Callithrix jacchus: one gene and its partners. The protein of the gene in region 1 interacts with the protein of each later gene in a pairwise test. Links are inferred from orthologs where the notes say so. Each region holds a gene or a part of one and is shown in the gene's direction. Other genes may lie near its edges. The genes, in order: NUP62CL, AGR2 and OGT.

Evidence for each region.
Region 2: the proteins of NUP62CL (region 1) and AGR2 interact in binary tests that used the Homo sapiens proteins (3 or more experiments, as listed by UniProt). The two-hybrid records come from large-scale screens. The link is inferred for Callithrix jacchus from reciprocal best matches to the Homo sapiens genes NUP62CL and AGR2.
Region 3: the proteins of NUP62CL (region 1) and OGT interact in binary tests that used the Homo sapiens proteins (3 or more experiments, as listed by UniProt). The two-hybrid records come from large-scale screens. The link is inferred for Callithrix jacchus from reciprocal best matches to the Homo sapiens genes NUP62CL and OGT.

What each region holds. Positions count from the first base shown.
Region 1 is NC_133524.1:103,715,085-103,718,738, reverse strand, and holds part of NUP62CL (nucleoporin-62 C-terminal-like protein), read left to right. Parts: intron 1-802; coding exon 803-935; intron 936-3,654.
Region 2 is NC_133512.1:41,650,265-41,654,466, forward strand, and holds the start of AGR2 (anterior gradient protein 2 homolog), read left to right. Parts: upstream 1-1,263; 5' UTR 1,264-1,310; exon of another isoform or gene 1,311-1,328; intron 1,329-4,202. UniProt on the Homo sapiens protein: Required for MUC2 post-transcriptional synthesis and secretion. May play a role in the production of mucus by intestinal cells. Proto-oncogene that may play a role in cell migration, cell differentiation and cell growth. Promotes cell adhesion.
Region 3 is NC_133524.1:68,853,423-68,857,076, forward strand, and holds part of OGT (UDP-N-acetylglucosamine--peptide N-acetylglucosaminyltransferase 110 kDa subunit), read left to right. Parts: intron 1-85; coding exon 86-256; intron 257-2,089; coding exon 2,090-2,242; intron 2,243-3,654. UniProt on the Homo sapiens protein: Catalyzes the transfer of a single N-acetylglucosamine from UDP-GlcNAc to a serine or threonine residue in cytoplasmic and nuclear proteins resulting in their modification with a beta-linked N-acetylglucosamine (O-GlcNAc).

The sequences.
Region 1 (3,654 bases):
AAAAGTACTACAAAAGTTCAGAAAACCAAAAGAAAATTATAAGTAGGAGAGAAGTGGGTGATAAATATGGGGAACAAAGAATTTGAGTCAAGCCATGAAGTATGCTTAGGATTTTATCTATGGAGAGCAGGACATTCTAATAGAGGTGTAACCGAAAAAGACATAGGAGAGAGGTCTTGGCTGTAGATAAAAGTTTGAGAAGCTTTTTCCTAGGGTTTGCAAAAATGTATGCCTAGTATTGGCTGTGATATAGAGAAATAGGCACTCTTTTCTATTGATAGGGACATAAATTGGCAAAATTATTTAGATAGGGCAATTTGGCAAGTTATGTTAAAATTTAGAGCATGCTGACACTTTGATCTATAAATTTTATTTCTAGGAATTAATTACACAGGTACAGTCATGTAAGTATGCAAAGATATAGATGTACAGAGATCTTTTATAAATTGCAATTATTCTTTTCTTGAAAGTTTAGTAAAACTTACCAACAATGGCATCTGGGACTAGAATTTTCTTTATTAGAAGAATTTTGAGGATTGATTTACCCAGTTATTGGGCGACTTAGAAGTTTTATTTTTCTATGAATTTATCCATGAGTTTTAGTTTTCAACTGGAAAGTTAATTTAGGTACCTGGCCTGCCATATATTATTTCATATTACAACAGTGTTGAGTTCAAATCCACAACTTTGAGTTCCAATTTGTATGTTTAAAAATGCCTCCATAATTTTAAATCTGAATGATCAAGGCTTAAATAAAACAAATTTCTCATTTCTTACTAACATTATACAGTTTATTTTCCAGTTACAACTTCAACGACTGCCACCACCACAGTCACCACCACCACTATTACCACAGTCACCAGTGGCTTTACTGTGAACCAACAACTGTCATCAGGAGGGTTTGAAAACCGTGTACCTTATATTTCAACTGTTAGGTAAGCCTATTTATTTGAAAATTTGCATGTGTTTTATTTTATTTATCATGTACAAGACATTTGCTTGGATAGCTTTAGAATATTTGAAAGTTAGCTACATGACCAAGTTGAGGGAACAGTTAGAGAAAGATTTCTGTAGTTTAGGAATTTGAACAACCAACAGCATGCCTTGCCTTCTGAATATTGTTATAATATAATCATTACTATTACTAATAATAGCTACCACTTATTATGTAATTACTTATGTTTAGCAAGATGACAGTGCATTACAAGCATCATGTCATTTATCCTCACAGTAACCCTATGAGGTAGGCACTATTTTCGTTCCCATTTTATAGATGAGAAAAGAAGAGCATTTAGAGATTTTGTAATATACTCATAGTTGCATACTTGTTAATGGTTGAGTCAGGATTAAAATTCAGACAGTCAAGTTCTGGAGCCTGTATACCATGCTTCTCTCTAGTATTTGTTCATTTTTTAAATTAAACATTTTATTTTGAGATAATTGTAGAGTCACATGTATATGTAAGAAATAATACACAATATTCTATATGGTCTTTATATCATTTCATCCAATGATAACATCTTAACAGTACTATAGTATAATATCACAACCAAGATATTAATATTGCTACAGTCAAATACAGAACAGTTCTATCACTACAAGGATTCCTCCTGTTGCCCTTGTGTAGCCACCCCCACTCTCTTCCTTTCCTTGACTCTGAGCAACAATTAATCTGTTTTCTATTTCTATAATCTTGACATTTTAAGAGTGTTGTACAGATAGAGTTATACATATGTGACCTTTGGGGATTGGATTTCTTAATTCAGCATAATTCCTTCTGATCCACCCAAGTTGTCACGTGCATCAATAGTTTGTTCTTTTTTATTTCTGAGTAGTATTCCCTGGCATTGTGGATGCACAATGGTTTATTTATCCATTCACCTGTTGATGGACATATAGGTTGTTTCCAGTTTTTTGGCTATTATGAAAAAAGTGACGTGAACATTAGTGTACAGGTTTTTTAGGAATATAAGTCTCATTCCTCTGGGATAAATGCCTAGGAGTACAGTTGTTGGGTGATGTGGTAGTTACATGTTGTTTTTTGGTTTTGTTTTGCTTTTTTAAGAAACTGTCAAGTTCTTTACCAGAGTACTGTGCCATTTTACACGCCCACTAGCAACGTATGGGTGATTCAGATTGTCTACATTCTTGCCAGGATTTGGTGTTGTCACTACTTTATATTTTAGCCCTTCTGACAGATGTGAAGTGATATCTCATTGTGGTTTTAATTTGCATTTCCCTGATGACTAATGATGTTGAATATCTTTTCACATGTTTATTTGCCATCAGTGGATCCTCTTTGGTGAAATGTCTATTCATATCTTTTGTCCATTTTCTACTTGGATTATTTGATTTTTTACTGTTTAGTCTGGAGAGTTTGTTATATACTCTAGATACCAGTCTTTTGTCAGATATGTGGCTTTTAAGTATATTCTTTAACTGTGTAACTTGGCTTTTTATCCTCTTAACAGGGTCCTTTTGCTGAATAAAAACTTTTAATTGGTGAGTTATAATTTATTACATTTTCATTTAATGAATTGTGCTTTTAGTGTCAATTATAATAAATCCTGTATTAGCCCTAGATCCCAAAGATTTTCTTCTATTTTTTTCTAAAGTTTTATAGTTTCACATTTTACATTTAAGCTTGTGATCCATTTTGAGTCAATTTTTATATAAGGTGTGAGGTTTAGGTCAAGATTAATTTATTTTTGTCTGTGGATGTCAAGTTTTTCCAACATCATTTATTGAAAGGCTATCTTCCCCCTGAATTGCTTTCACACCTTTGTCAAAAATCAATTTGTGTCAAATGCTTTTTCAGCCTCAATTGATAAAGTCTTTTAAGATTTTTTTCTTTATCTTGGTGAAGTGGTGGATTACACTGATTGATTTTTAGATGTTTAACCAGCCCTGCATATGAGAAATAAATCCCACTTGATCATGGTGTATAATTTTTGATACATTTTTAAAAATTTGGTTTCCTGGTGCTATAAGGACTTCCGTATCTAAGTTCATGAGAACTAATAGTCTGTAGTTTTCTTCTTTTTTTATGCCTCTAGCTTTGGTATCAGGGTAATATTGGCTCTATAAAAATGATCTGGATATGGAGAAATAGGAACACTTTTATACTGTTGGTGGGAGTGTAAATTAGTTCAACCATTGTGGAAGACAGTGTGGCAATTCCTCAAGGACCTAGAAATAGAAATTCCATTTGACCCAGCAATCCCATTACTGGGTATATATCCAAAGGACTATAAATCATTCTACTTTAAGGACACATGCACACGAATGTTCATTGCAGCACTGTTTACAATAGCAAAGACCTGGAACCAACCCAAACGCCCATCGATGATAGACTGGACAGGGAAAATGTGGCCCATATACACCATGGAATATTATGTAGCCATCAAAAACGATGAGTTTGTGTCTTTGTAGGGAAGTGGATGAACCTGGAAACCATCAGTCTCAGCAAACTGACACAAGAATAGAAAATCAAACACTGCATGTTCTCACTCATAGGCGGGTGATGAATGATGAGAACACATGGACACAGGGAGGGGAGCACTATACACTGGGGTCTGTTGGGGGGAAATAGGGGAGGGACAGTGGGGGGTGGGGAGTTGGGGAGAGATAGCATGGGGAGAAATGCCAGATATA
Region 2 (4,202 bases), on another chromosome or scaffold:
ACTGAGTTTTGCTCTTGTCACCCGGGCTGAAGTGCAATGGCACACTCTCGGCTGGCCGCAACTGCCACCTCCCACGTTCAAGCGATTCTCCTGCCTCAGCATCCCGAGTAGCTGGGACTACAGGTGCATACCATCATGCCCGGCTAATTTTTGTATTTTCAGTTGAGAATGGGTTTGACCATGTTGGCCAGGATGGTCTCGATCTCCTGACCTTGTGATCCACCCACCTCATCAGCCTCCCAAAGTACTGGGATTACAGGCATGAGCCACTGAGCCTGGCCAACCTTAACTCATTTTTAAAAGTCATTTATATAGGGCTTGCAGCCCAGTTAACTTTCTGTTGTTAAAATATTTTCCATTCTGCGCTTTTAAAGACTGCTCACAACTTCACAAACAAGATACAGGATTAAAAATTTTCAGAGAGAAAATTGAAATCCCAGTTTTAAAATCTTCACGGAGTAATTAAATAAATCTTGAATGGAAAAAAAAATAGTTACAGACCTTAGGTTTTAGGTCTGAAAAAATGGAGGAAATGGCTTCCTGATTGCCTTTCAGGAACATTTGTCTTCAAGTAAGATTATCTGTGAAATACCTTTGAACTCTTTGGAGGGAAGTTGCTGCACACATTCTGTGGCAAGGCAATTACTACAGGCTGGCAGTATCAGGCTGGTTTTTTTTTCCCAACACTTCCTCAGTTTTGAATTATTATGTGGGTTACTTGATTTGTTTTGTTTTGTTTTGTTTTTCATACATGTAGTAGTTCGGGTGCATTTTTTTGACAGGAGTGGGGAAGTATTATCGAAAATAATTTTTATCATAATGGAGTATGGCAGGTTATATGACTGTGAGGATCAGAATTGTGAATCATCTCTTGTGTGTTTTCAAGTAAATAAAGGCAATCTATACAGGGCGGAGAAAAAAAAAAAAAAAACTACTAACTACAAACTCCATCCAATCACATAAAGACAAATCAGCCTTCAGGCAAATCAAATGTCTTCATTCAAAGTCTACCTGGATTTGGCACTCTGCCCATCGTTTCAAAACCTCTTAACAATGTACTTCACAAACAGTTAAAAACATGCATACTGAAAAGCATGCTTTTGAAACGTTATTTTTAAAAACAAGGAACTCTTTAACCCAGGAAAGACAATCATGTGGGAAAAGAAAGGATCGTTTCTGAGTTAGCAACAAGTAAATACAGCACTAGTGGGTGGGATTGAGGTGTGCCCTGGTGCATAAATAGAGGCTCAGCTGTGCTGGCACACTCAGAAGCTTGGACCGAATCCTAGCTGCCGGCTCACACGAGGCAGGTGGGTGAGGAAATCCAGGTAAGGCTCCTGATAGCAGCTTTAGAAGGGCACCTGCTGGAGTGACTTTTGGCCTCTGATTACTGTATAAAGTTGTAGGCAATCAAGCAACAGAGAAGTGCAAGTTTCCAAGGGCAATGAAGTAGGATTTGGAGAGGGAATCATGGAATTTCTACCAAAGGCTCACTGGGGCCTTTCTTTGGCTAGAGCTGGCACAGTGTGACGTTCCCAAGTTCATTCAAAGGAATGCTTTCTTCCTTCGGAAACAAAATTTCCAAGAGTGGGTGAATCCTAGGATTTTTCAAGCCTGGGACAGGGTCCAGGGATTTTCGTCTCAGTCATCATCTAAAGCTCTGCTTCTTTCCCACGGGCTAAAGCAAAGCCCTGTAGGCCTCTCCACTGTGACACCTCAGCTCGGATTGCCTACTTGTAATATATTACTGCAAATCAAAAAACAGTTTTCTTTCTCTCTTTGGTGCAGATATCCTTGTTGTGTCTGCAATTTTTAAATTCATGGGATAGGCTATTAGAGGAGAGGAGAGATCTGGTTGCTTTCCTGAAGCATTTACAAACAAGGACACTGAAATTTCTTGCACGGTCATTCTTTGCAAAAGGCAAGACAGAGACAGGATGACAAGTGGAAAGTGCTGGCTTCACATTTGTGTGTGTGTGTGTGTGTGTGTGTGTCTGTGTGTGTGTGTCTGTGTGTCTCCAAATTATCAATATCTTTCATGGTTGGAATTGTTTTGAGGTGGTTTATGCAGGAAGTTTGCAGAGCAGAATCTATTCATATAAAAACTCCGTAGAGTGAATCTCAGAACGTCACCCCAGAGCAGGATGTTTGTGTAGCAGGAGTTATATTAGCCTTCCTTGAGCCATCCTGCCATAAAACACAAGCAATATATCAATAGTTCCAACCTGTAATCTTTGGAGATATTACAAGGGGTCCGAGTAGCTACTTGTACAACAAGAACTGTAAATGGGCTAAGTAAATAAAAATGTTGTACCATCAATTTACTATTTTTTAGAATATTCATAGATGCTGTTATGCATAAAAGTAAAAGTCAAATGTTTGTTTATAGATTCAAAAAGTATAATTATTCTCGTGTAAAAGTTCTTGATTTTTTAACATTAAAAAGAAGTTTTTATACAAAGAGGGCTGAGAATTATTGATGTACAGTGTACATTTGAGTTGTTTTTGCAAAACTCTAGAAGACAAAAGTTGTATTGGCATTTCCACATCTTTATGGGTATAGAAAATGAACAAAGTATATCCCTGATTTTTGCTCAAATCTTTCTAAGACATTTTGTATTTATGTTCTATGAATTTGTTAATAATTGGTCAGTTAAATACAAAGTGTCATTTCGATCTGGTAACTTTGCAACACCTTTAAAAAAAATCAGCTCATGCTTAGCAAAGGTTTCCACTAAAGATAGGAGATTATGAAAAACTTCTCTCTTAAAATTACTAATTCCTTTGCAGAGTTTGAGTTCATTCAAAACCTACAGCAATACTAGAATCAGGTCCTGTGGTTTCACATTTCCCTTTTAGCCCTTGCAGTATTTGCCTTTACCAGAATCCCAAGTCTCCAGCCTTCCATGTTACAGCCCCTTGGATGATCTTAGTGACTTGCTAGAGCAACTCACTTTGCTCCCTCCCTTCCTCCCTTCCTTTTCACTCACAAAACTTATCTTGTCATTTACTTTCCTGTTAAAAGGCTTTAGCTTTTCCTGGGAATCAACTATGGAATAGCATTAAAAAAAGTAATTTAACTAAGATATTGGCTGGTCGTGGTGGCTCATGCCCGTAATCCCAGCACTTTGGGAGGCTGAGACAGGCAGATCGCTTGAGGTCAGGAGTTTAAGACCAGCCTGGCCAACATGGTGAAACACTCTGCTACAAAATTAGATAGGCATGGTGACACATGCCTGCAGTCCCAGCCACTTGAAAGGCTGAGGCATGAGAATCACCTGAAGGCTGTGTTGAGCTGTGATTGTGTCACTGCACTCCAGCCTGGGTGACAGAGCAAGACTATTTAAAGAAGAGAGAGAGAGAGAGAGAGAGAGACGCTTGGGGCTTATTTCTCTGTTATAAATTGCACCAAATACTTCCGTGCACTAACTTGTATGCCCACCATCACCTACCTATACAGGCCCATAAGGAGGGTCAAAGAGTTGTTTCGATGGAAAGAACATTACATTGGTGTGTCTTAGTTAACCCAGAGCTAATACAGAGTTTGAGTAAATGTTATGCTAGGGAGAGAGTTGTATAGGTAGCCTTCAGATAAGTGACACAGTTGGCACGTTCTAAATGAAGAACCATTTTATTCATATCTTCTTCTTCAATGGCAATGTCCCCATTTAACTGAAGGTTTGAGAAGTGTGTACATTTAGGATAATTGTTTCAGGGAGGGGAGATAGGAGCTAGCACTGCAAGATAACAAGATCCAGAAGGCTTTGTTCTGAAGCCATCTCACAAATCTTTCTCTCTTTGAACTTCAGATTCTTCATCCATACAGTGAAGCACTGGGGAGGTGAGAAAAGAGGGGGTAACCCCTAACCTGCCTTCTAGTACTTTATTTTTTAAATATAAAGTTAAAATGTGAGGCTGGGCAGAGTGACTCATGCCTGTAATTCCAGCACTTTGGGAGGCCAAGGCAGGCAAGTGGCTTGAGCCTAGAAGTTTGAGACCAGCCTGGGAAACGTGACAATACTCCATCTCTACTAAAACACACACACACACACAAATAGCCAAGTATGGTGGCATTTACCTGTAGTCCCAGCTATTTGGAAGGCTGAGGAAGAAGGATCACTTGAATCTAGGAGGTGGAGGTTGCAGTGAGCCAAGATTGTGCCACTGCACTCCAGCCTGGGCAACAGAGTGAGACCCTGACT
Region 3 (3,654 bases), about 35 Mb from region 1:
ATTTCAATAACTATCATTGAAATAAAGTTAACTGCATTCAGGATCTTTCCCCTAATGATGCATTTTGTGTGTGTGTTTCTTTTAGATGAAGTGTCCTGATGGAGGAGACAATGCAGACAGCAGTAACACAGCTCTTAATATGCCTGTTATTCCTATGAATACTATTGCAGAAGCAGTTATTGAAATGATTAACAGAGGACAGATTCAAATAACAATTAATGGATTCAGTATTAGCAATGGACTGGCAACTACTCAGGTGAGAAGATAATACACGATTATATGTCCCACCAACTTTGCATTTATTTCCTTTAAACCTCATGATAACTGTAGGAGGATACACATAGAAAGAAACGACCAGTATTAGCCTTTCTAAAAATATACCAAAAAGTAAAGAGCATCAACATAAAGAAGAATTTACATCAATGAATGGATAAAACAGCCAGTTAACATCAAATGGCAGTGATCCTAAATTTAAATTGACTAAATCCCCCAATCAAAAGATACAGCCAAAACCCAACGGTATGCTACATCCAGACCCATTTCACATGCAAGGATACACAAAGACTCAAAGGGATGGAGAAAGATTTACCAACCAAATGGAGAGCAAAAATAAATAAATAAATAAAAAGCAGGAGTTGAAATTCTCGCATCTGATAAAATAGATTTTAAAGCAACAAAGATATAGTGGTAAAAGGATAAATGCAACAATAAGAGCTAACAATCCTAACACCCAGTTACATAGAGACTTAGACTCCATGAGACAGAAAATTAATAAGGATATCCAGGACTCTAACTCAGATCCGGAACAAGTAAACTTAATAAATATTTATAGAGCTCTCCACTTTAAATACACAAAATATACATTCTTGTCAATACCACATCACACCTACTCATAGGTTTAAATGAAATATTGATTGGCCATTATTAATACCCATTTTTTAGAATAAAGCAACATTTCCGTTCTCCCTCTTTTTCTTCCTTTCTTCCTCTCCTTCATTCCTTTTTTCTCTTTCCTTCTCTTAAAAAAAAAAAAAAAAGGATAACTGTAGGAGGCAAGTATCATTATCACCATTTTATAGATGAGGAAATGAGTTTAGTGTAAACAGGCATCTTATGTAGGTTTGTCTGATTTTAAAAGTCTCCCGGGTTCAGCCAGCAGATTATTACTTACTGAGAATCTGCTGTGTTAATACCATGTTGTTATTCCCTGCCTGTGGCTTTACTCTCTTATCATATGATGAACTATCTGTAGATACTGTACAGTTTCTTGCTTTTGTAAACTCATTCTTTCCCTAGCTAAATCCTACTCAGACATTCAGTTCAGACAGCTCTTCCAGGAATCCATTTCCGTACTTACCACTAATGTCTCCACCCCTACTTCATTGGTACCTGTCTTCTATGCCTCTGCTATGTTTGGAATATATCATTACATACAGCACAACAGATGATAATTCCCTGTGTTTGTATCCTCTACTGAATTGAATTACTGGGCCCATCTCTTAAAAACAGTAATGTAGTATGTACTCAATAAATAATATATTGCATGCTTAAATAAGTAGCTCTATCAAGAGTGTATAAGGCAAAGAAAGATCTCTGGCCTCTAGAGGTCATAGATGTCTTTGCATACCTGGAATAGTTATGTAGCAATGTAAGGCAGTACTCAGATGTGTGAGAATTACAAGATAAGACTAATTATGTAGGTAGAAGCCCAGAAATGGCGATGATCGATGTGAAGAGAGACACTCTTGGAAGAAGAGTAATTTCTTTTTGGAGGAGTAATTTATTTAGCCTTGAAGAGTAGATGTGATTTAGAAAAGGACATTTCATTCATAAAGAAAAGAGTGATCAAAACTGTTGGATTGTTAATAGGCTCTTGAGACCTTTTTTTGGTTAAAGCAAGAAGTTTCATAGTGCAGTCTCCCCCAAATTAAGATCATGCTGCAACTGTTTGCCTTTTCTTAAATTTCATGTATCATGAATATTTTCTCATGATTCAGGGACTTAATGGTTATACCATTTTGGATCTTATGGATTGAATATTGGACTCCTTTTGCCTTTAAATGTAACCATCATCCTTTCCTTGTTCTAGATCAACAATAAGGCTGCAACTGGAGAGGAGGTTCCCCGTACCATTATCGTAACCACCCGTTCTCAGTACGGGTTACCAGAAGATGCCATTGTATACTGTAACTTTAATCAGTTGTATAAAATTGACCCTTCTACTTTGCAGATGTGGGCAAATGTGAGTATGCATAGACTCATTGTTACTGTCTCAGAGACTAAGAAATAAGGATTTTGTATACAGAGCTGCTTGTTGAAGATGGTCCTTCCACTCCCATTTAGGAGCTGTTCTGCTCATTTATTTTTAAAACTTTTTTTTGGCCAGGTGCAGTGGCTCATGCCTGTAATCTGAGCACTTTGGGAGGCCAAGGCAGGCGGATCACTTGAGGTCAGGAGTTTGAGACCAGCCTTACCAACATTGTGAAATCCTGTCTCTATTAAAAATACCAAAAAATTAGCTAGGTGTGGTGGTAGGCACCTGTAATCTCAGATACTCAGGAGGCCGAGGCAGGAGAAGAATCCCTTGAACCCAGCAGGTGGAGGTTGCAGTGAGCCAAGATCACACCATTGTACTCCAGCCTGGGCAACAAGAGGGAAACTCTGTCTCAAATAAATGGATAGAACCTTTTTTTAAAAAATCATTTTATTTATTTACATGTGACTCAACTGGGTTGTGCTCTTTTTTTAAAAAAAAAAAAACAGAATCTCACTCTGTTGTTCAGGTTGGAGTGTAGTGGTGTGATCTTGGCTCATGGCAACCTTTGCATCCCAGATTCAAGTGATTCTTGTGCCTCAGCATGTGCCACCATGCCTGGGTACTTTTTTGTGTGTTTTTAGTAGAGACAGGGTTTCACCATGTTGGCCAGGCTGGTCTTGAACTCCCAGCCTGAGGAAATCTGCCTGCCTCGGCCTTGTAAAGTGCTAGGATTACATGTGTGAGCCACCAAGCCTGGCCTTGTGCTCATTTATAATCTTCAAGAGTTATAGATTTTTCAGGCATTTTGGTTCCAAAGTCTCAACATGTCATTGTGAACCTTTTAAATGTACATATTCAAAGTGTTCTTCTGTCTAAAGGGTCAGCAAACTTTTTCTTAAAGGGCCAGATGGTAAATATTTTCAGTTTTGTGGCCCATACTGTCTCACATCTACTCAGCTTTGCCATTGTAGCATGAAAATACCATAGGCATTTTGTAAATGATGAGTGTGGCTGTGTTCTAATAACATTGTATTTGTGTGAAATGTCAGTATGCCATATTTGGCTCACAGGCTGTGTAGTTCGCCAACCCCTGGTCTAAACTGATAGCATATACTGTCATGTACATCCACCCATGTTTAACATTCTTGTAGTATTGTAGAGTTCTAACCAAGAAGGAGTCGATCTATACATACGATTATCTCTTAGTTCATCAGACAAGTTTGCATAAGTGGGATATTAGATAGCTGTCACTGGCTCTTAACCCATAGAACTAAAATAAAATAGCATGTTTTACCTTTAGGTAATCTGGAAATAATTTCTTGGTTAATTTTTTTCCCTGGTATCCGTTTTACGTTCAGAGGAGAGGGGAGGATAGAAGAGAAGAGGAAGCAGATGAG